Linked DNA regions of Schizosaccharomyces pombe. The gene in region 4 interacts genetically with the main gene of each other region. Each region holds a gene or a part of one and is shown on either strand. Other genes may lie near its edges. The genes, in order: png2, wdr7, ssu72 and set3.

Region 1 (4,662 bases), on a different chromosome or scaffold from region 4:
GAATGTGAATCTATTATTTACCGAGAAAACAGTTATTGCCTGAATTGGAGGTGCCTATGTAATGTATAAAATAAAATAAAAAAAATAAGTGAAAACTCCTAAGTCAAAAAATAGCAACAAAATGACTGAAAGTGCAGTCTGATAATAAACAATGATCACAATAAATATTACAAACGGCATGTAAAGCGGGGTTCAACTTACCAAGACAATTGAAATGAACCGGAAAACGTCTATAAGTTTATCACAATTTATTGGAGGAAAATAACACCAAAGGCTCAAGCAGTACGCTGTATCCTACAAAACAAATAGCCTCGTCTAGTCGTATATATAAATCTTAACAATAAGGCGACAACAAAAAAGTCAAGAGCATATTTTTGAGAGAACCGATCAGATATGATTAAAGTCGTAATTTTTGCCATGCTCTACTCTAGGACTTTACCGCTGCGAACTTCCTTTCCAGTTTTTTTAATCGTTTGTTCTACGAGCTCATATGGTTTGTCTGTGGTAACGATAACCTCTTGTTTTTCGACCGAAATGGATTTGTCTTCAACACCTACTCGACATTACTTAATTAGTACACAGATTCATCAACAAAATTCCTGAAAAACCATATATAACAAATACTTATATAAATGTAAATCTAAATACTTAAAAAATGACTTTTTTTAAAACGCACCCAGACGAGTTAAAACGCGATCGATGGCATTTTTGCAGCCATCACAAGCCATAGCAACGTTAAATTGGTACTTCATTATCAGATGATCAAAAATTCAACGAGATTTGGACAAGAAACTGTTAATTAACTTTTTTGTAACACAAATAAAAACAGTATTTAAAATTCAAGAAAATCCCAATTTTAAGAATTACTTTAGATGAGAAGGAGGGAAACGATAAGTTGGAAAATCCATTAGTAAAAGCATTTAGACGTAATGCAAGGAGGTATCCTTAAAAAAATAACGAGAGAGATATATTTGCTATAGATGTGTGTCAGTAATAATGCACTAAGCTATGATACACTATGTTGTGTATCACTATTTGTCATTACTTTGAATACTATTTAAATTCGCTTTTGAAACATGCATGAAGGAATTTCCATTTATTAACAAGTATGTAAGCTAACAAAACAAATTCAAAGAAAAAATTTAATAAAGTTTGCGCCTAAAATTGCTTCCTTACTTCAATGACTAGTTACTAACAAATTTCTAATAAAAATAATTATAATATTACTTACTCATACATATTGCATCCGCTTTTTGTAGATTGCAAACAAAACACACCGTAGTTTTACATATCATTAAATAGTATACCGAGATACGTAGCTGATGGTTGTATCCTTTAACGAAACCATAAAAATCGTTATAAGGGTTTTATGAGGTATAGAAATGTTGTCGTTAGTTTAATTGATTCAGTAAACAAGAGCAATGCAAGCAGTGGTAATGGATGTTTCATAACGATGTCAAACACTGAGAAATTAACAATAAAAAGAAGGTGAAAGAAAATAAAAAGGATCCCGGCTCATTGACGACTTTCAGATGATTTTGCTAACTCTTCACATTCTTTACAATACCAGATCCCCTTCGGTGGTTCTACTAGACCAACGCAAGGTAAATGGAACCATTCTCTTTTACAATTTTCGTTATCACATCCAATCATTTGTCCATAGGAAACTTGTTGACAGTAACAGTAAAGTTGCTCACCTTCACGGCTGATATCACTTGAATCTAATGTGTCGTGTTTGACAAGTGGTTCCCCATTTGTCTGTTTTAAACGAGATTCTGATCTCCGCACTGGTCGCCTCTCCGTAGATTGCGGCGCATGCTTTGTACTCGATAATGGAGGTGATGATGATTTTCTAGGAACAGCATTTTTTCGACGCTTTGTAGGGGTGTGATAAGAAGATTGCGGCGATGAAGCGTCTTCAAAGTTGTTATATGAAGACGACCGTTCCTGAGAGGAATATTGCTGGGAATGCTGGTTATTTTGATGCCGACGGGTTTCCCGTCTCCTTTCAGAAGTTTGAGGAGTCACAGTAGAATGATAATTCATTAAAGCTCGATCGTCTGGATATCCCAATCTCAATTGTTGGGGAATCTCCAATTCAACATATTCAAACCCAGCATCCAAACGGTCGATACAACTCTTGATATTATTCATTGCGTCTGTGGCCAAACAAATCTTTGAATCAGAATATGGAAGTATCTCTTTTAGTGTCTTTTGTAATCGCTCACATCTTTCTTCTCCTGACAATTCGTCATTTTTCTCGTTTTTTAGAACCACACCAATTTCCTGTATGACATTTTGACGGATATCTAAGATTTTGTTAACCACACGTTTTAAAAATATATATTTCACTTACCTCGTACTTGTGCATCGATCTCTTTCAAACTCGTGAATTTTCCACATACTGATTCAGGGACTGAAACAATGGCTGTAAAATGTTAATCAATGTGTTTATTTTCGCCTCTTACCATCTGTGAAATCATTTAAAGCTGCAAATATTTCAATTCCACTCGTCCCCATGATATTGACACTAAGCACGTTACGTTGTGCTGAGTAGGAAATGTATGTCCCACCTACTTCTCTCACTTTACTACATCCCTACGTGAAATAGCAAAATTGTATGTTTAATCTATTGATAGAAAGAAGTGATTCTATTATAAGCGACGCGTTTTAATGTACCAGAATTCTAGTATAATTTCAGCACTGCTTTGAACTGTAATTTTTAACGACATTATGTTAGTTCAGGTAATATGAGCCTTCTTGTTTAACCATACATTTCCAAATAATCAATTTATTTTAGATATCGGTTCTACTACTCAGTTAGTTGCACCTTCATTATAATAGCAAATTTTGGATGTCCGAAATATTTTTCCTTTTCACAACCTTCAGTGAATTCCAGATAATTGAGAAGTACATATTAAAATTCTTACCCAAAATAGACCGAGATTTACTATATCTTAAAGCTCAATACATTCTTATTTTTCCATTCTTCTCATTTGACTTACATACGATAGTGTATATACCAATATCAAACATTAACTCAACACGCGTAATCTCAAAATTTTGCAAGTTGGATTTACTATGTATAGCTATTAATGAAAATAATGATAGGCGTAAATAGTATGGTTTATTAAATAACGGAAGCTTTCTCTTTTTTTTTTTCGAACATTCATGTGCTATTTTCCTTCCCTAAGTCTAGGGCCATAGCTTAGTATTGTACATATTAAAAATTGGAACAACCGTTCCGCGTATTAGCCTAATTATTGAATTAATTCCCGATATTGTCCGTTTCATGTTCCTGTGGCTTGTTCCTCGGACGCGTCAGCGTGCCATTTTAATATATACCAGCCCTCCCATTTCTATGTAAATATACCACACGACTATTCCTTACACACATTATGAATTCTCTACGTTCAGTAAAACGGCTTTTAGGTGCTCGCTCTTTGAGCTCTGATGGGCTCTCTGAAAGCGTTAATTCTTCTGATCGAGAGGATAGCTTGAGCTTTCAGACTCCTTCAACCCCTTCTGAAGATGAAATGCCACAATGTTTTGAAGATTTAATCAAGCCTCAAGTTCTTTCTTCAGAGGCCTCAAAGAGTTTACTTTCCCTTAATGAAGGAATTAAAATGGAAATCGTGTCCAGTTTACAGCAAAAAGACCAGAAAAAGCGAAATAAATTAATTGCTTGGATGCGTAAAAAACCATGTTACGAGCAACCTGACGACTTTATTTCGTATATTGTAAATACAAAAATTGACTCAATCGATGAATCTATCATACACAAATTAGCTCTACTTCTCAGAAACGAGCAAGTAATGTATGTTTACATTTTGTGCAGCTACGTGAATCAAAGTGGTGATGCTTAAATTATCTTTTTTTTTGGCACTACTATTGTTTTGATTGAATGATAAATCATTCGTTTATTTTGAGGTTTTTCATACTAACTGCAATACAGATGGGTAGAGAAGTTTATACACAACGGCGGTTTCGGTGTAGTATTTTGTACAATCGACAAAATCTCTCGCCTTGAATGGAGAGAGGAACTGCACGATTCTATACTGGAGCAACTTTTACTTTGCGTTAAAGCCATGTGCACTGTTCAGGTATGCATGTGATATACATTTAGACCTATGTCTTCATTGCCTTTGACAATTGCTAACGTTTTTCCTAGCGCGGATTGGAATGTTTATCTCAATCCACTTATAATGTCGAGCGATTGATTTCCCTTTTGCTTTCAAAGAAACAGCCATGTGATTTTGTCGTAAGGGAAGTACTCGTTCAAATAGTTCACTCCTTTTACAAAGCTCATCTCGACAAAGAAGAAGGTGCAATGCAAGTTTTTTCCTTGTTTTCTATTAAAGACGATAAGGATGAAGAGGTTGAATTCTTAAAAAACGTTCGAGTTGATCGACCTTTTCGCCGTTGGATTATCGAACTTGAAGATGTTAGCCGTAATGTCTTCTGGGTGTGGAACCACGATTCTAATGTCATTGATTTGGAGAAACAATATAATCAAGTGTACGAGGCTCCATTGGGGTTTATTGGTGGTATAGAAACCGAAGCCACCAGCTATGTTGCAGCTCACATCCATCTTATTAATGAATTACTCGAAGGCTTACCTTTAGAGAAACGTCAAAGAAAACGTTTGGAACTCCAGCTAAG
Region 2 (7,063 bases), on a different chromosome or scaffold from region 4:
GCAGTGCCGGGAAGCATGTTATTCATAGCATATGAGTTAGTTGCATCGGGCATGCGAGAGACTAGGCGAACAACATTGTTTATTAGATGATGTTGTTCAGGGGTAACCATCTTCTCAACCTCAGCCTTAACAGTGTCATACACTTCCATAAACTGTGCACGGGCAGCCGAAAGTTTTTGAAGATAATGTTCAGGACTATGATTTACGCAAAACTCATTGTAGCTAGCTCCATAACGAAAATGAAGACCGGCGGATAAAGTCAGGTCAGCCTGGCAAGCAGTAGCTAATTGAGAAAGAACACCTTCTCTTCCAATGGGATGATGCGTAATAAAAATACGTGCCTCCTCTCTGTCAAGCAGGCTCTTAGCGGTTTCTATTAGTTCACCCATTTGAAGGATTGTAGTCCACATAGTACCCTGGCCACCAGCAATAGTTCCTTTACCGTCTCCATTGTCAAAAAGCTTAAAAGGGACATAAGGACCTCCAAGACCAAGTAAACGGATTTTCATATCTCCAATTTGCAATAGGTAGGAATGAAGTTCGTCCACTATGTTAAGGTTTGGAATAGAATATTCTCCAGAACGAAATTTTTCCAAAACGTGCACATCTTCGCAAGCTCCCCATACTACATATACAGGGACTGAGAATTTCTTCTCTTGTGACAAAAATTGAGGTAATTCTGAAAGCAGGCAATCGGGGTGAGAAGCAATACTATTCTTCAAATCCCCAATTGGATTCGAGGGATAATAATCAAAGTTTTTGGACCTAGGAAGCTTTTTTATGAGAGGCGAGAATTGGACAATGTGACGAAGAGTACTGAAAAAAGGTTAGAACAAAGAAAAATGAAACATAAAAATTTTTGACACAAAACATACCGTTCAGATATGCTAGGAAGTGAGGATCGCTCAAAAAATCCAAAGTCACCAGTGTGGATGACACAGGAGGCATTGGTTTCCTCAACCAGGCTATTTATTAAACTCAGTTCACCTGAAGGGATAGTTATTAGTAAAAACGCGTATTAAAGAGTAGTAATTTTAAGGATAGGAATAGCTAAGGAGAATAAAGTGTATGGACAAAATTCTTTTACGAACCAACGAGGATCTTTAATGACAAAATGAGTAAATTGAGCAATTGCGCTTCAACTCCTGCTAAGCCATTATGGATAAGTTCATGCAAAAGCATACAAATTCGCATCTTCTTATCTTAAAAAGTAAAACGATCGTCGATAATTCCCCCGATGGGGTGCTTTTGAATTCTCGCTGGCAGCTCTAAATCCATAAACAACGCATACTTACCTCGAACATCGGCAATACATAAGATCCTGGATTTATTATCCAATGTGAGTACTTGAGCTGAAACATCCAACGTGGAATTATTCTCGGAATCTGAGTACGTTTTAGAGGATTTATTTTCCAGCGTCCCAGTTGAAGGTTCCGCTTGAATATCACTTTTAGCCGTCTTTTATGTAATTAGTTTAAAATTTTTGCAAAGATTCATTAGATCTATACTTACATCCACGCTCATTATATCGTAAAAATCTAATGAAACGGATAAAACAGTAAATGGTGTTGAGTAAGGGTTTTGTGATGATGCCTCAGTTTCGGCACTGTACTACTTCCTACTACAATAAGAGAATGTTGCTTCGTAATGTTATAACTTAGATCCACCACAAACGAAGTAAAGTAAATTAAATATATAAATACACAAAAAGCAGCAGTTAATAGATAGTTTTTGAAATTTTTAACGTGACAATTGTATTTCTGTAGTATAAAACTCCACAAAAAATAAAAATAAAAATAAAATTTAGTATATATTAATATATATATTTATATATAAATATGAAAAAAAAAGGTGCTTCAATGAAGGATTACAAAATTCTTGAGAAAGCTCGGTAATCGGGACGGCAGAGTTTATTAGGGTATATGTTAAATGTTGCAGCTTTGGAATGGAATTGTTAACTTATTTTACACATACTATGACTTAAGTTTGCCTCGTGTACAGTAGATGATGCTACAGTCTGAAGTATATTTCAATTTCGTTATATCGTTTTTCCAGGTTGAGATTTGAATACTAGTTGCAGTGCGAAATTTACAACATTTGAAGTATGTAAATGTTCTGTTTATTTGGCAAATTGAATAAAATAAGACTGTTAGCAATTTTTTCGGTTTTTTTCTATGTACAACAATACTCTTTTGTGTTATTAAATAATGCTCGTTTACTATAACTTAAACTCGTTTGTACGCTGTATTCTTACTACTAAGTATTGTCAAGATTTGGAAGCAAGGGCATCGCCCCATCAACTAGGTCATATAGTATTCGCGTGCTTCAAGTAGCACAGCAGCACATTCCCACCACCGAGTGGAATTCGAAGTTGTGTGCAGTGGTATAAATTTTGGAGAAGTGTAAGTTGTATATAATTCAAGAATGAAGAGATTTATGTAATGATTGATACAATCGGAGCTGTCGATGCATACATTCTATTAAATGACGGATGGACGAATTGTTTACATGGCTATTTGTTAGACATTCTTGTCTATGGCTGTTGCAAGTTCTTCATTTTTCTTAGATTCTCTTCCTCAAATACTTGTTGCATCTTGTTTATTCGTTTGCGTTCCGAATTTGCTAATTTTACATTCAAGAATATCGCGGCAACTGTTAGTCTGCCTAAATATTGTTTTAATTTCATTTTCTGCGTTTTCAATTACTTTTATATTTAAAAAGGTTTAACAATTACTGAATTGAGTGGTTATTTGGGAAGCCGTGTTCGAACAGCGTTCAAAATTGATGTCAGCCTTAGACCGTTGTTGATTGCGAATCAAAATGGATTGGGTTGCATTGTCGAAAAGCTGTAAAACTCATTTGTTAGATGAAGGCCTTGACGTGTCTTCAATACATTGTTTTGATCAGTATTTGATAGTAGGCCAATGTTCCGGCCAAGTCATGGTATTTGACGTTTCTACAGACAATCATTTCACTTTGATCCAAACATTTATAGCACACAAACATTCCGTTTCTTCTATAGTTTGCCTTCCATTTGAAGCTGATGGAATTGTAGACCTATCAATCATTACACTCGACGAATCTGGGTATGTTGAGCAACTCTCATTAGCCGAGCAGCAATTATCAAATTCATTATTTAACTTATTTCTTGCTAACATTTTCTCAGATTACTTTGTCAATGGCTACTGAAAACATGTGACCGACGAGCTACTTTGCAATTGTGTGACGGGCTATGTTTAAAGCTATTTAGATTAAATAACAACTTTCTTGCTGTTACCGGAACCTTTTTGAAAATATATCTCATTAGAATCTCCAACTTTCAGATAGTTGCGACTTGGACTGGTCATGAGGACTGGCCTATTTTGTTTCCGTTCAAAGACGAAGCTTTATTAATCCCTGTCGCCTATTCAGATGGATCTGTATCTCTTTGGTCAGTTGATTGGTCAGCTCTTACTTTTAAAAGAAATTCAGTTACAAAAGCAGATGTTAAACCAACTTTTGGTAAGGTTATTGATGTTGTACCAGCAGATTGCATTTCTTCCAATTATGCGCTATATGTATACTCGGATGCGGTAGTACTATTGGAATCGCATGAGAAATTTATAGCTTCATATTCACTTGCAGAGATAACATCTGTATTTGTTTTGGCTGATGGCACGGCTTGTATTTTTACTCTTTCGTCTTCAACTTTACTCAAACTTCATCAATCTCCTGAACCTCATTTCGAATTAATTTCTAAGTATTCTGGAGATTTTCCATGGAAATCGTGCACCATTTTAAAAAGTAAACCCGTTAGTTTGTGTGTTTATCCCGAAAAAATAACTTTCAATTGGTTAACAGAAGGAACCGTAGACTCATGCAATCTTTGTAAGTTGAGCAATACAGCTGCTGTTTCCTACGCTTATACGGACTCTCTTAATTTATTCCTTGGAACAACCTCTGGTTTAGTGATGTTTTCTTTGTTTGACTGGTACCTTCACAATGATCCAGCTCCTCTTTACTCTTTTACAAGGGTTTCTGGAATTGTAACATATATGAAAATATTTGAAACTGAACATTCACGCTCAATTTTAGTTGTTGCTACCAAAACTGGAAAGGCTTACTTTTATCAACAACTTCAGGGTGAAAGATGGAGATTTCTCTGCGAGCGTGCTTTGCAATCTTCTTCAATTACTAAAATTATTCATGCAAAGAAATCATTATCTTCTGGTTCATCAGGCTTATTTATTTTTATGAGTTTAGATGGCTCATTGTGTGCCTTGGATGAATCTTATAATCTGTAAGTTATCAGTGTGTTATCAGTTATTAATCGACTTTTATAGTCTAAGCTACTTGCCATCTGATGGTGCTCAAGTTGAAACTTTGTACTCATTTCCCGATTTAGATCAAATCTATGTTGCTTATGACAATTTTCAACTATTAAATTGGGACGTTGTGGATCAAAAATGTTCTGAAGGAAATTATTCAGATATTATTGACTCTTCGTTCATATCTATTGGTACTTTTGATAAATCTAACCTCCCTACTTTGTATCATGGTTCTTGTGCTTTACTCACCGATAATTTGGTTACTGTTTTTTTAGACGCTCATGATTTAGTACTGAACCTCAATTTTTCTAATGAAAATTACATAGAAAAAACGTATATTGACGAGTTCCTTGACTTTATCCAACCTCCTTTCCTAAACTCTGATATAGAGATGGAGCATCAGTTGTTAGGTACTGTTTTTGATCAATCCAGTTTGCATCTTGGTGTGGGTAAGCCAGATGGAAATGCCATACTTCGATTTGACACCGAAATGAAGTCAATAATAAATACTGCACCAAATTGTTCCGCTTTGCTGTTATATCTATATTTTTCTCTAATGGTTCCTTTATGTAAATATGATGGGCTGAGCGATACCAAATTGACTGAAGGAATATTATTAAAGTTAAAAGACCTGAAAACGGTTGATTACAGTATTTCCGTTCTTTCATACGTCTGGAATAATTCAGGCAAGGTTATGCAGGGTATAATTAAATCAATGTTGTCGAGAACATTGGAACTTATATCTCCAGAGGAACTTCAGAGGCTTATATATTATTATTTTGAGTTTTTTACGACTACAGGTGGAGAGTACTATCTGAAAAAGGAGGTGCAACATTCACTGTACATCTTGTCATTAATTGTCAGTTTACGGCCTTCAGCATTTGATGTTTCACAATTGAAATTTTTGTCTTCCTATTTATTACAAAAATCCGAAAGTATGGACTATGACTTAACAGCAATTCGCCTGTTGAGTAATGGTTTTTCCGTGTTTTCAAAACATATTGATCCTGCAAAGTTTATATACAACCTGGTTTTGTCATCCTTAGAGAATACTAAGGATTTGGATGATAAAAATAGCATTCTCTATAGATCAATAGTGGATGTCTCAGTTTCGAATGCTGTTTTACTGCTTACATGTTTATGCGATGAAGTTTATGAGCAAATGAAATCAAATTTACGTTCCGTTATACTAAAAGTTGTGTCTTTGGCAATTGAAAACACACAATCCGAATTTTCTTTATTTAATCAATTGATCACGGAAAAATTACTTCCAATCCTTTACTCTAGCCGCTCGGTTGAAGAAGTTCACGACGTTACTAACGCAATTGCAACCCAATTTCCATTTGCATGTTTTGATAGTAAGGTGGAAAAATATTCCTACATTGACGATGGTGATCTTGTGGTTTATGAAATAGCTAAAAGAAGGAAAGTCGTCAGCAAGGAAAACGCCGAATGTGATATTCAGGTATTGTCCGCCAGTCCTTCTGGTGACTATTTTGTTGGAGTCAGTGCTACGCAAAAGGAATGCATTATTTGGAAATACAGCCAAGATTTCGTAAAATTCTTGAACTTATCAACACCTTCATTAACGATCCGAAAACGTATATTATTACAAACTAACAAAACGAATGAGGTTGAAATTCCTGAAGTCCTATGGATTAGCCAGTCATCAGCAGAAGTCCATATTGGGAGCACCTTTGCTATCATTGACTTGTAGGTGGATTATGAATAAATTTTATCCATGCCACTAAATAGACGAGCCAATTTTTGTATTGGAAGTGGGAAAAACCTCAGTAGAGGCATAAAACGTGCGTAAAATGGATAGTAAAAACGACCCGATTTGTTTGTATATAAGTTTTGAATAATAATTTTTGCTAAGTTTTGAGGTTCTAGTAGAGGGGCTAATACTCTGTTTGGGGTATCTTTTTCGAACATTGTAGATTTAATTTGCCCTAAAACATAAAGAGAAAACTTGAAGTTGGGATGCTGTGATAAAACCTCTTCCTCTAATGTTTCATGTAGCGAAACTAGTGCCGCTTTTGAAGATGAATAGGCACCTGTTAATCACGTTAGAAAGGAAAAGCAAATTTTATAAAATCAACCCCACTTACCGACTCCCATCGCACTAAAATAAGCCAAGGAGGATGCTATGTTGACCACATGAGGATTTGGATCTTGTAAAAGGAGAGGAAATAATGCAGATGTAATTGCCAGCTGTCCGATCACATTTGTTTCAAAGCATCTAAATTAAGCAGTTAGAAAATAAGGCTTACTACGCTTAACCTGTACTTACTTTTGTAATTCTTGTCTTGATATAGACAGCAAATGATTTTTTGGAGCAATAGCTGCAGCATTGATCAGAGCAAAAGGGGTCCTGTTCATCTTTTTCAAAGAATGGACACATCCTTCTACGTCCTTATCTTTGGTAATATTACATTTCAAAGCACTAAATTTAGAATTGTACTGTAGAAAAGATGCAGGCTCAGTACTGTCCAAAGAGGCGACGCTGAAGCCTCTATCCAACGCCTCTTGAATAATAGCATGACCAAGAATCCCACTTCCTCCTGTTATCACAATCAGTCCTTTAGCACATGAATAGGATTGTTTCCTGAAAAGTAGAGGAAACCAAGAAAGGGTTAAGGCAGCACAAACAAGCGAAATCACCAATAATAATATATGATTCAACATCAGGGAATGACTTCTGTGAAAAATATGATAAGTTGCTGAATGGAAACTTGGCAGAAAGTCGTTAACAT
Region 3 (4,027 bases), 1.9 Mb from region 4:
AGGACAATGCCGGTGTTATTGTCAACCCTAAGGGTGAAATGAAGGGTTCTGCAATCACTGGTCCCGTTGCTAAGGAGTGTGCTGACCTTTGGCCTCGTATTGCCTCTAATGCCGGTACTGTAGTTTAAATTCATTTATTGAATAATATTTTGGGATTACGAGACAATGTCAACAAAATCTAAGGGTTAATTCTTGCTGTTAGAATCTTGAAAAGTAGTAATTGCAATCAGAATTATTTTGACTTATAGTTTATCATGGCGTAGCCGTAAACGTGTTTGGATAAGTAAAGATTTGAAATGTTTGACTGTCTAAATACTTTGACACGACTTTACAAATATAAGTGAGCAAGTACTAACTAACTGTATTTTAGCAAGTCTCTATTTCACTGCTATACATGCAAATTACTTCTGGTGCTTGTCCAGTGAATCTGTAACCAATATTAAGTTATGTGGTCAATTTTAGTTGGTGTTTACTCATCATAACTTTTTCCCTAAATGCAACATAAAATAGTGAAAGCGGAAAGTATTAGACCCCTTTTTCATTGAACTCTTACTGTTACTCGTTGGACATGAAGCGTATGTATTTACTACTTTGCACTTCAAGATGGTCTAATTTGGCGAATGGTGTAAATAATGAAAGCGCAGAATAAATAACTGCTAATGTACAAAATGTTTCCACAATGGTTTGTCATAATCGTTTGACACGAAAGCAAAGAAAATTGCGCTGTGATTAAGTCTACTCAGTTAGCTCAAGAGATCAAAAGAAATAACAGTTTTGTCAGTGTTAGTGGTTTTAATTATGATAACCGTAACAGCTTTGACATTCTTCATAGCAGACGAATAATTGAGACTATTTGATCACAATAACTAAATTAAAGCTCTATTTTGAAGCGAAAGAGAAAAAGAAATATAGACTGCTTACCGTTTATTAAGCCTGAATTGCGCGATCAGTTAACTGAAACATATGGTATATTAAAAAGGAGAAGTCTGTTTGGCGTAAAGTCCAGCGAACGAGAAAAGCTTTAGAAAAGGGGAACGAAATCACTAGATTAGGATTATACCGTGACGCTGCAAGATCATCGTCTACTTATGGGAAGAGCCGATTTGCCAGTTAGCACGTATGGTTTTTCTGACGGATTCTTTGTATATAAAACATGTGAATATGTTTCTTTTGATATAGAAATAGCATCTACGTCTTTTACTTATTGGATATGGTTTGCATGCATTATAGCAACGTAGTCCTTCTTTGCATAATATGATGTGCCTTTACATTTTCTTTTTTTTTTCTTATTTACTGACTATATTTAAGGCAAGTCACTAACTGTTTCGATTCGCAAAATTAATGAGTACTGTTGAATGTCATATTTCACTTTAAGAAGCTTACTGAGTGAACCTGATTTTTGTATTTTCTACTAACGAAAAACTGCATTAACCACACAGTAACTTTATAGCTTTTCAAGACAAAATTACATACACCGATTTTATTTAGGCTGGTCATATATTTTTCAGTATCCGCGATATCTTCAACTAAGCTAATCATTATTGTCGTAAACGTTTTACACACGATCAGACAAAATTAAAAGGTAGCTAGGGTTTTGTCTACAGTGGTACTAATTCAATAACTGAAGTTGTATCCTTTGGACAAATGCCTAAAGTCATCATTTCGCGTTGAATTAAAATTGGTTAAGTTATGCAAAATATATACTAAATCGAATTTATTGAAACAGTCACAAAGATTGAAGACCTACCCTATATAATACTCAAAACTTGGAAATCTTAAGCGATAAATGAAATGAAAGAGTATGGTATGTACGAAACTACTCTAAGTAGATCAGCTCAAAACTTAATGCTTCATACGCCAGTTTGTATGTTTGAACTTTATTCATTTTGAGATTAACAGCCAAGAATTGTTGATTGATCCAACCGCAAATTTTGTTTGACAATACAATGATTTCTCACTAATTTTATACGGCTTTTTAAAGTGCTGGCGATGAGTAGTTTTATTATTAATATTATAATAAGGAGTTTTTGAATTAGGCATAATTTTGTAAAGTTAACAATCATTAATGTAGTATGGGTAGTGGAGTATAGACGTATTTATTCAAACCCTATCTTTGAAAAATTGCTATCAGACGAATACAACGTGGAGAATTTTTATTTTTATAAAACATTTAAGATAATTAATTAAAGTAGAAATTATACTCTGCAAAGATGAGATTCATTTCAAGAGCCTCTGCTTTTGTGATGCAACATATCGATATATCGCATCGTAAAGCAGCGTGGTAATTTTGAAAGGCTGTTGCTTACAGCGTGTCATATTGTATACACTGCAAAGAACGAGTTTGGACCTTTGGCTGTATGTCTAATTTAGTAAGATAAAAATCTTGCAATAATAAAGAAAGGAAAGTAAAACCTTTTAAAGCCTTACCAACGTTAGTCAGTAAACAATAATACCAAATAATGGCTCCCAAAACCAACCTCCAGATCAGTGTAATTTGTGCTTCGAACCAAAATCGAAGTATGGAAGCTCACAACGTCTTAAAGTATGTCATTTTTGAATTTTATGAGGTAGTTTGCTAATCTCCATTGAAGGAATGCTGGATACCAAGTTGATTCGTTCGGAACAGGTTCAGCTGTACGGTTGCCGGGTCCCAGTATTGACAAACCTAACATTTATCAATTTGGGTATCCATATGATGAAATTTATAAAGAGCTCGAGGCCCAGGATTCCCGGCTATACACGGCCAATGGATTGCTTAAAATGCTTGACCGAAATCGCCGTATAAAGCGCGCTCCTTGTCGGTGGCAGGACCAAGATTCCATATACAACATTGTAATAACCTGCGAAGAAAGATGTTATGATGCCATTTGTGAGGATCTGTATCGTCGAGGTGAAACATTGAATCGACCTGTGTACTTAATAAACGTTGACATTAAAGATAACCATGAGGAGGCCAGCGTAGGTGGAAAGGCCATTCTCGATTTAGTCAACAAATTAACCGAGGCACAGGATAAATTGGAAGAGCTGTTCCCTTCTATAATGGCCGACTTTCAATCTAACCATCCTAAACTTCCTGTATTGTATACTATTCATTTTTTTTAATATCATTTATCGTTACACGTCGTTATCGAATTTAATAAAGCATGTCCTTTCTCCTAGTATATCTACAACGTTCTAAGTAATAAACACAGTAAATTGGCAAGGACGCAAAGCTGTCAGTAATATTTTTAGATAGAAGATTTCTCTTCGCACTCGTTTGCCTGTTAATGTGTTTGGCAGTACATTAGGCATTTTAAAGACTTTTTCTTTAAAAATTTAATTCACAGAAAAATTATATCAAATTAATTTAGGGTCCAGCACGTCCTTGCCCATTGTATTAGTACAACTGCCTTAAGTTAATTTACACAGTCTATCTTTTTCAAGTCAGCGTAAAAGAAAGGACATATCATTTAATTCCCTGAAAAAGATAGAAAGCTCATTTTTTCCAACTTCTTTCCTCAAATCCCTAGTCTTAAATTTGCTTTCAAACTATGCAAAGTATTATTATTCGTCAATATCGGTTTTTAGCTCGTTACTTAGAGCCTGAATTTGTTAAAGGTATGTTAAAAATTGGTTTAAAATTAAGCTGTACAATTGCTTTGACCCACGGAAACAATGTAATCACCTCTAACGCTATTTTATAGACCCAGCCCTAAGGAACGCCAATGCGAGGCCACGTGAAAAGCTTCAGCGTTTGTCTCATATTCAGTTCAGTGAACTTTTAACAGACGTTGCTGATGAACTACAGCGTAGGATCAACAATGATCCCAAAGGTATTTTGATTTACACTCTTATGAGTCTACAATTCTAACCCCTTATAGTCAGATTCTTACCTCCTGTTGATTCTTATCATCCCAAGCGGAATCATGCTCGACAAAAACTTTCTAGTCTTGCTCCTACAAGGCTTCGGGATCTTTGTATGGATGTGTTTTTTGAAGTTCAATCAAGATATAGTGGTGCTTTAAAAGAAGTTTCTTCAAATACACCA
Region 4 (6,487 bases):
TATATGGAAGGAAGAAGGATTGTCAAGCCGATTCCTCTACCGAGGACACGATGAAACCACTCCCAGAAAAATATGTTTTTAAACTCATCCACTGTCATATGGCTGTTCAGCTTCTCAAACTCTGGTGATTTTTTGTAAAGCTCAAATTCTTGGTTCCATTGTTCATCAGTAAGAGGAGGAATTACGCCAGTGATGGGCTTCCATTCAGTAATACTTAACCCGGATTCAGTTAGTCTAGTAATGCCACCTACAACAACAATTGCAAGAACAAGAGCAGAAGATCCAAGCAGCCAAAAGGCGACCTTTTTACTCGGAATTTTTTCGGTTTCCTGTAGGATGCCACCTGGTGTAGGAGCGACTGAGTTACTCAGCCGGCGAGCAAAAAACTTTTCAAATGAATTTTTATTAAACTTACAATCATTCAAAAATAAATTCTTAGTCCGTGACAAATTAATTTCATTTAAAACACTCGATCCAGAGAAGCTCCTGCTCATTCTCCAACTTGACCTTCCAAGGCAAGAAATGTCGCAGCCTTTCCGTAAGGGCTGAAGCAGGAACTGTCTCATCAGACCTGATGAACGTGAAATGTTCATTGGTAATTGTTTACTTTTGTTTGCGTTTCGCTTAAAAAAGTAGGTTCATGGAGAGAGAGGAATGGTACCTAACCTCCCGGTTCTATACCACAATAATCTAACGGCGCACTTTCAGAGTCGCTATAAGTAGACAAGCTATATTAACGTAGGCCGTTTGATATATACAAGATCTGAGTGGATCGTCGATGAATAGTTTAATTTGATGCGACAATTCGCTGAAATCTGCACGTAGCATATTTGAATCGATGTTTATATTTATGATACTTAATACTCAAAATGTACTAGCTTCATTTGCGTATCCAAAAAGTTATTTAATCTAGTACATGTCGCATACGGAAATAGCTGACATCTTAAATAGTTAGTTCTTATAATCTTACGAACCGAAACTTCTATATGACAAACATAAATCATTTAACTGCTATAAATTAATATTATTATATTGTACAATGTTCTAAACGTGCAAATTAGGAACAGAAAAATGCAACGACTGAGGGTTCGTTGCTCTGAATCAAAAGAAACTAAAAAAAAAAAAAGGAACTAGAGTTTTCGCCCAAACACTTAGTCATTAAATATTTACAAACGAAGAAGAAAAGAATGCAGAAGCAGGTGACAGTAAAATATGCTCCGAGTACCAATCATCATAATAAAAAAATGAAATGAAAATACATATGAAGGTAAAAAGATGCAGTCATCGTACCAACTTTAGAATCGTGAAAACTTGTTCGTATACCATATCCAATAAAAAAAATCATCCACACATTTATATGGTTTCAAGATTTACAACATCTTCTAGAATTTTTATCGCGTAAATGAAGGGTTAGAAACTGTAGCAGCAGGAACGGTGTGAGGCCTAGCTGTATCGCCATGTGCTTGATTATCCTTCGACTGTTGATGCAGAATGTTTTGTTGACGTCGTTGTCGATACTCAGAAAGAGATAGCTTCTTCGGTGCTGAGGTAGGAAGAGCAGAGGCTGAAGTGTTACTAGGCTTGACTACACTTCCTTGGACCAGATTCGAATTGGGCTTGTTTTCGCTTCTTGAAGTATTTAACGCATTCGAGATATCATCACCGTTGTTGGCTTTGTGGTCCAAAATGTTTGGATTGTTCGTAGGAAATTGGTTGTTTACCAAAGCATGGCGACTCGTTATAACTGGTGCTGGAGCTGTCGGCAAAGGAGGCGTAGTTACAGGAGATTTATCAAACGAAAACCCGACAGGACTAACCGAAGGTGAATGGGATCGAGTGCCATTCTGTCTAGAAAAGTTAACGTCAGAAGACCTTTGAGTGTCGTGAACATGCGATTTATCTTTTACAGTCCTTAACGTATTAAAAAACATGGACCCACTCTTTTCTTTACTCGACGGCTCGAGTTTCAATTTTGAATCTGAATTTCTATGGAAAGAAGGATGGACCTTATGTGGTCTGTCACCTTTAGTCTTAAAGGCTTCCGGCTTCCTTTCGATAGATAGCGATCTTTTATTATAATCAGGTTTGCCATGAAAATCATTTGCAATGCTACGGCGTCTTTTAACTGACGGCAAATGATCAACAGAACCATGCTTTTTGTGGACTGTCGTAATAGTTCCTAATCCTCTTTTGCAAGGAGAAGTTTTGTCCAGCATATCTGGGCTTGTTCGAGGATGTTGTAATGGTGAGGCTGATCGCCTACTTAGTGATTCTCCAACATTAAAAGATGGAGGAGTTGTAGGGGTTATCGAGGATTCTTCAGGTTCCTTTGCTTTTTTCAATGGACCATCGGATTGTAATGCAGCATCGGGTGAAATGGGCGATAAGACGTCTGCAATGCCCACCTTAGAATCAGTGTGTAAATCAGCAATATCAGTTTTCTTGTCCCTATTAGAGGAATCTTCCTCAACAGAGGGTAGTGGAGATTGTAAATCTTTAGTTGGTTTTTTCTCCTTCACAGATGGCTGTAACTTCGGCTCCATGACTACATCGATTCCTACACTTTCTGTGGGTAATGACTTAACAGCAGGCCATTTTTGCAAAATACTAAGACGGTACTTATCTAACCAAAACTCTTTCAAGGATTTGGCATAGACCGATGTGGGGTTTGAAGGTTGCGGTAATGATTCAGCAGGGCTAGGGGTAGAAGGGGTTGAGGAAGGTGTCAGAGACAAACGGTCTTTTGCTACACTGACACGGTTTGCAGTAGAAGCGCGGCGGGCCGCTTTAATATATTTAGTAACTCTGGAAAAAACACAGTTTTTCTTATCCTGTGAGGCACATTCGTTAAACGACAGGAAGGTAGAAAGCACTTCTGAAAGTAATTCCAACTCTTCCATATTGAAGGAGGGTCGCGACATACCAGGCGCAAACTGGCGAAATGGATGGGAAATATCGAGAGTCCAATCCCCAATAATCTCTGTTTCCGGAGCTATGTGAGTAGTTGAATAGAGGATAAATCGAGGAACACTGTTAGACCCATTCATGTAAACACTTGAAACGACGGAGTTTGACTGACAACCTTTACGCGCAAACCTCGCTTTTGAACCAGCAACCCGTGAGTCAACAACAAGCTGAGAATTTGAGTCAAAAAAGACATGTGGCTTAGGAGCCCCCAAAATATTGTACTGGTTTTTGGGATCACTTTTGTATTCATTCTGCGTACAAACCCTTCCTTTCACCTCCATAATGGGTGTATTTGGAGGAATTTCGCAAGTTGACACCAAACCAAAGCGACTACAACAAAACTTTGAAGATGATATAGGTACGACTTGGCATCCATCCATTAAAACTTCGGATTCATCTAAATTCTTTAAATCCAAATTCTTAGAATACTCAAGCGCAGATGCAGAAAAGGTGTTTGATTCCAAAGGGACGTATTCCAAGTGAAACGAATACACATATTCGTTAGAAGCCTCGGTGATTGGAGCCTCTGGTGGGTTGTTAAGGTGGTTGGATCTTCGTCTGCGATTCTGAGAATGTGGAGCATGAGCATTGGGCAATGTTGCACCAGTCACACTGTTACGATAAGACCCCGAGTTCGAAGAGTTGGTAGACTGTGAAAATAAAGCGCCATTAGCGCCTGTGTTATTGCCTTGTCTCGGTGACGCAGAGTGTGTAGGACTAGCACCATTTTTGCCAAAACTAGTTCTTCTCTTGTTGTTGGAAGAACGGGATCGCGATAATATCCTAGACTGCTCTTCTTCGCGCTGTAACCTAGCTAGTTGAATTTTATGCGCCTTGTCGGCATCGATAGGACGAGGTTGGCATTGTTCACAAAAATATTTTTCAGGAACATTATTTGCATCTATGTTTACACAAACGGCGTGTTGCCATACCTCGCAACTTTCGCATTGGATGGTGAATCCGTCATCATCCTCGAATGGACAAACGCATCGTATTTTCCACATGCTAACTTAACCAAAGAGAAAACGATCAACTTATAACAAAGTAAAGAAGTATTTCATAAACGCTAATTTCTGTACAGGAGCAATTTAACCTTGGAAATTACTGCTTTCTTATGAAAGCAAAGATTTTAGCCCCAACTATACCAATGGCTATCTCGATTATCTGAACTCTCCTAAAACTAGGAATCTAGTATATAAATACTCGAAAAACCATGTAAGTTGAACAAATACTCTGTTTTCAATTTGCATACGCGATTTTGGTAGTTGATACGACGTCGCGATTATTCCGCTCTTCAACATTTCCATCCACCGAGTGTAAACACACGTCCCATAAACCACGTTTCCGCAGTCTAACGTCTCCTCGGTAAAAACAAAGAGAAGAAGATGTTGAAGAATAGTTCATTTCTCTATGAAACTTCTCATTTTACATATTTTAGAAGGTAATAAAACTGTCAAGGAGTTTTTAATGAGTCTTGCTAAGAAACCATTTTGAAAAAAAAAAATCATCTACTAAGACAATGAGTTGAGATAAACGGCAGGTGCAATGTGTCAGTAGTTAGCTAATGTATGGTGTTAGTGAGTGTGCGCAAGCAATCGAAAACGTCAATAACGGACTCGCAACTCTAAAGAATTAACAACCTTTAGCATTGGACTGTAGGGTTTAAACAGCTTTACAAGGAGAGGGATCTGTTTTCATGAGTTCCACAGTGATATGAGACTTGAATAGGCTTGTCAACTATAGAGAAATGTATATGCAAGGAAACCAGCATAAATGACAAAGTCTTTACTGTTTTATGACTTACTAAATATACCTCATGGAGAATTGAATCCAAATAATGAAGCAATGTTCTATCGTTCTAGTAGAATTTTACATTTCGAAGAGGCATTTGTGATAAACGAAACTAATAATATAAACCAATTTATTCCTAAACAACCATTTTTCAAACTGTTAGACTGTTGTATCTTGTACAAGCTCCAAACTGAAGATAGGTTCGTTTACAAGTATGTATACACGAAAATCCATTATTAACCATATTAATCTGCACGTAGCATGCAAGTCCAAAGAAGTAACCAAACGAGAAGAGAAGCCGAAACCAAATGCCAACTTTAGATATGCAAGATAAATTTTAAAAAACACGTTTTCGAAGTGTCTAAAGAGTTCGAAAGTGTAAGAAAACCACTCCCCAAAAATGTCTTCTCTTCTACTATTTTGTAAATTTGAAAGGAATAAAACAATAAAATAAAATAAAATAAAAGAACGAAGCGGGACGCAACCAACGGAAGATCGAGAGTTACATTTTTGTAGGAAGAAGAGTGTTTAGTCCATTTGCATGGCTGAAGATGAGTTTCGAGATTTCTTGTTTTTGCGTTTTTTGGCGAGGACGGGAATCTTGACAGGTTCTGCAACTTCTTCTTCCATGGTATACTCCTCGTCGGAAACAATTTGGGGTTCTTGTACCTCAGCAGTTTCAACCTCACCTTCGGGTTCGGTAAATTGAGGAACATTTTGAGCAATGAGTTTTTGAGCTTCTTGAAGCTCTTGGGCACGTTTGCCAGCCAATCTCTTTTTGTAAAACAGACGCTCTCTCTTGGCATGAACTTGGCTAACCCGTTTCATGGCATTCAAAGTAGTTGCAATGACATTACGGTCGTAACGAACAGGAACATTTCTACGAGCTGCGGTAACTGCGAGAGCTGTGTCATAAACCATTTCCTTTCCATGTGCCTTACGGTACGCTTTGGTCCAAGCAACCTAGACATTGAAGTTAGTATACATACATATAGGTGGAAGCAAAACATTTAAAAAAACAATAGAAAACTTTCTTCGTTCATGGGCATATAAAGGAAAAAGTACACCATTTAAGGTAGAATTTGAAGAAGAAAAGTATCATTTCAAAACAAGGCAACAGAAAAAAATTTTTCCTCTTTCAAAATCAATCATCTTCCTCAACCAAGTCTGTATAACGTTTTTGCATTCCTTTATTATAAAAAAAACATACCTTACGAGGATTGCGCTTCATTTTGAAGTTCTTATGGCACTTGCTGCGACAGAAACGAAAGACCTTGGAGTCATTTCTAACAAACATTATTCCATGTCCTGGGTAAACAGGACCCGAGCAGAAATAGCAAGTATGTACCCTAAATTTCCGTTAGTAATAAATACTTTGAAGGCATTTAGCTCTACAAACCTCATATTCCCCCTAAATTCTTTCCCGTCCTTGTATGTTCAAGTTGGCTAAGAGCAGGTAAAAATTCGCGCTCCCTACAACGCACATATTTGAGATGCGAGCTTCTACTTAAGCTGCGTTTTGCGAATTCCAAATATGCCTTATCTAATTTATGATATATCGTTAGGTTGCGTTATTTAATGAAATACCATCTCGGTGAAGTTTCGAGTGAATGGTCTCGGACGCAATCTTAGGAACCTATTAATAATAAATTTTATCTTCAATTTTTGTTAACTCATATCGCTTCTTTATCAAAGGCGTGTCTACGCCAAAAAAAATAAATACATAATA

What was found.
Region 1: mutations in set3 (region 4) and png2 together harm fitness more than expected from each alone (negative genetic interaction), as found in Schizosaccharomyces pombe (2 studies listed by BioGRID).
Region 2: mutations in set3 (region 4) and wdr7 together harm fitness more than expected from each alone (negative genetic interaction), as found in Schizosaccharomyces pombe (2 studies listed by BioGRID).
Region 3: mutations in set3 (region 4) and ssu72 together harm fitness more than expected from each alone (negative genetic interaction), as found in Schizosaccharomyces pombe (3 studies listed by BioGRID, with this or other methods).

The regions. Positions count from the first base shown.
Region 1 is NC_003423.3:1,119,430-1,124,091, forward strand, and holds png2 (chromatin modification family protein Png2), read right to left. Parts: upstream 2,533-4,662; 5' UTR 2,521-2,532; coding exon 2,469-2,520; exon of another isoform or gene 2,429-2,468; coding exon 2,357-2,428; exon of another isoform or gene 2,310-2,356; coding exon 1,516-2,309; 3' UTR 1,232-1,515; intron 1,176-1,231; 3' UTR 1,153-1,175; downstream 1-1,152. Other genes in the region: Cu chaperone Atx1, read right to left, coding at 423-553, 677-752; GTPase-binding protein Rid1, read left to right, coding at 3,399-3,817, 3,956-4,103, 4,172-4,662.
Region 2 is NC_003423.3:2,268,534-2,275,596, reverse strand, and holds wdr7 (WDR7-like protein), read left to right. Parts: upstream 1-2,344; 5' UTR 2,345-2,402; intron 2,403-2,639; 5' UTR 2,640-2,820; coding exon 2,821-3,086; intron 3,087-3,166; coding exon 3,167-4,279; exon of another isoform or gene 4,280-4,322; coding exon 4,323-6,024; 3' UTR 6,025-6,029; downstream 6,030-7,063. Other genes in the region: SPOM_SPBC16H5.12C (uncharacterized protein), read right to left, coding at 1-816, 876-987, 1,296-1,458, 1,513-1,524; SPOM_SPBC16H5.14C (DHRS family dehydrogenase), read right to left, coding at 6,030-6,364, 6,419-6,549, 6,601-6,995.
Region 3 is NC_003424.3:3,175,563-3,179,589, reverse strand, and holds ssu72 (RNA polymerase II CTD phosphatase Ssu72), read left to right. Parts: upstream 1-2,328; 5' UTR 2,329-2,459; coding exon 2,460-2,542; exon of another isoform or gene 2,543-2,591; coding exon 2,592-3,102; 3' UTR 3,103-3,163; downstream 3,164-4,027. Other genes in the region: rpl2301 (60S ribosomal protein L23), read left to right, coding at 1-128; spa2 (GTPase-activating protein), read left to right, coding at 3,531-3,597, 3,684-3,812, 3,861-4,027. UniProt on the Schizosaccharomyces pombe protein: Processively dephosphorylates Ser-5 of the heptad repeats YSPTSPS in the C-terminal domain of the largest RNA polymerase II subunit (rpb1).
Region 4 is NC_003424.3:5,038,511-5,044,997, forward strand, and holds set3 (putative histone H3 lysine methyltransferase Set3), read right to left. Parts: upstream 4,235-6,487; 5' UTR 3,972-4,234; coding exon 1,392-3,971; 3' UTR 1,036-1,391; downstream 1-1,035. Other genes in the region: etp1 (monooxygenase-ferredoxin fusion protein), read right to left, coding at 1-593; ribosome biogenesis protein rlp24, read right to left, coding at 5,287-5,721, 5,969-6,107, 6,158-6,162. UniProt on the Schizosaccharomyces pombe protein: Transcriptional regulator that acts via the formation of large multiprotein complexes that modify and/or remodel the chromatin. Required for both gene activation and repression.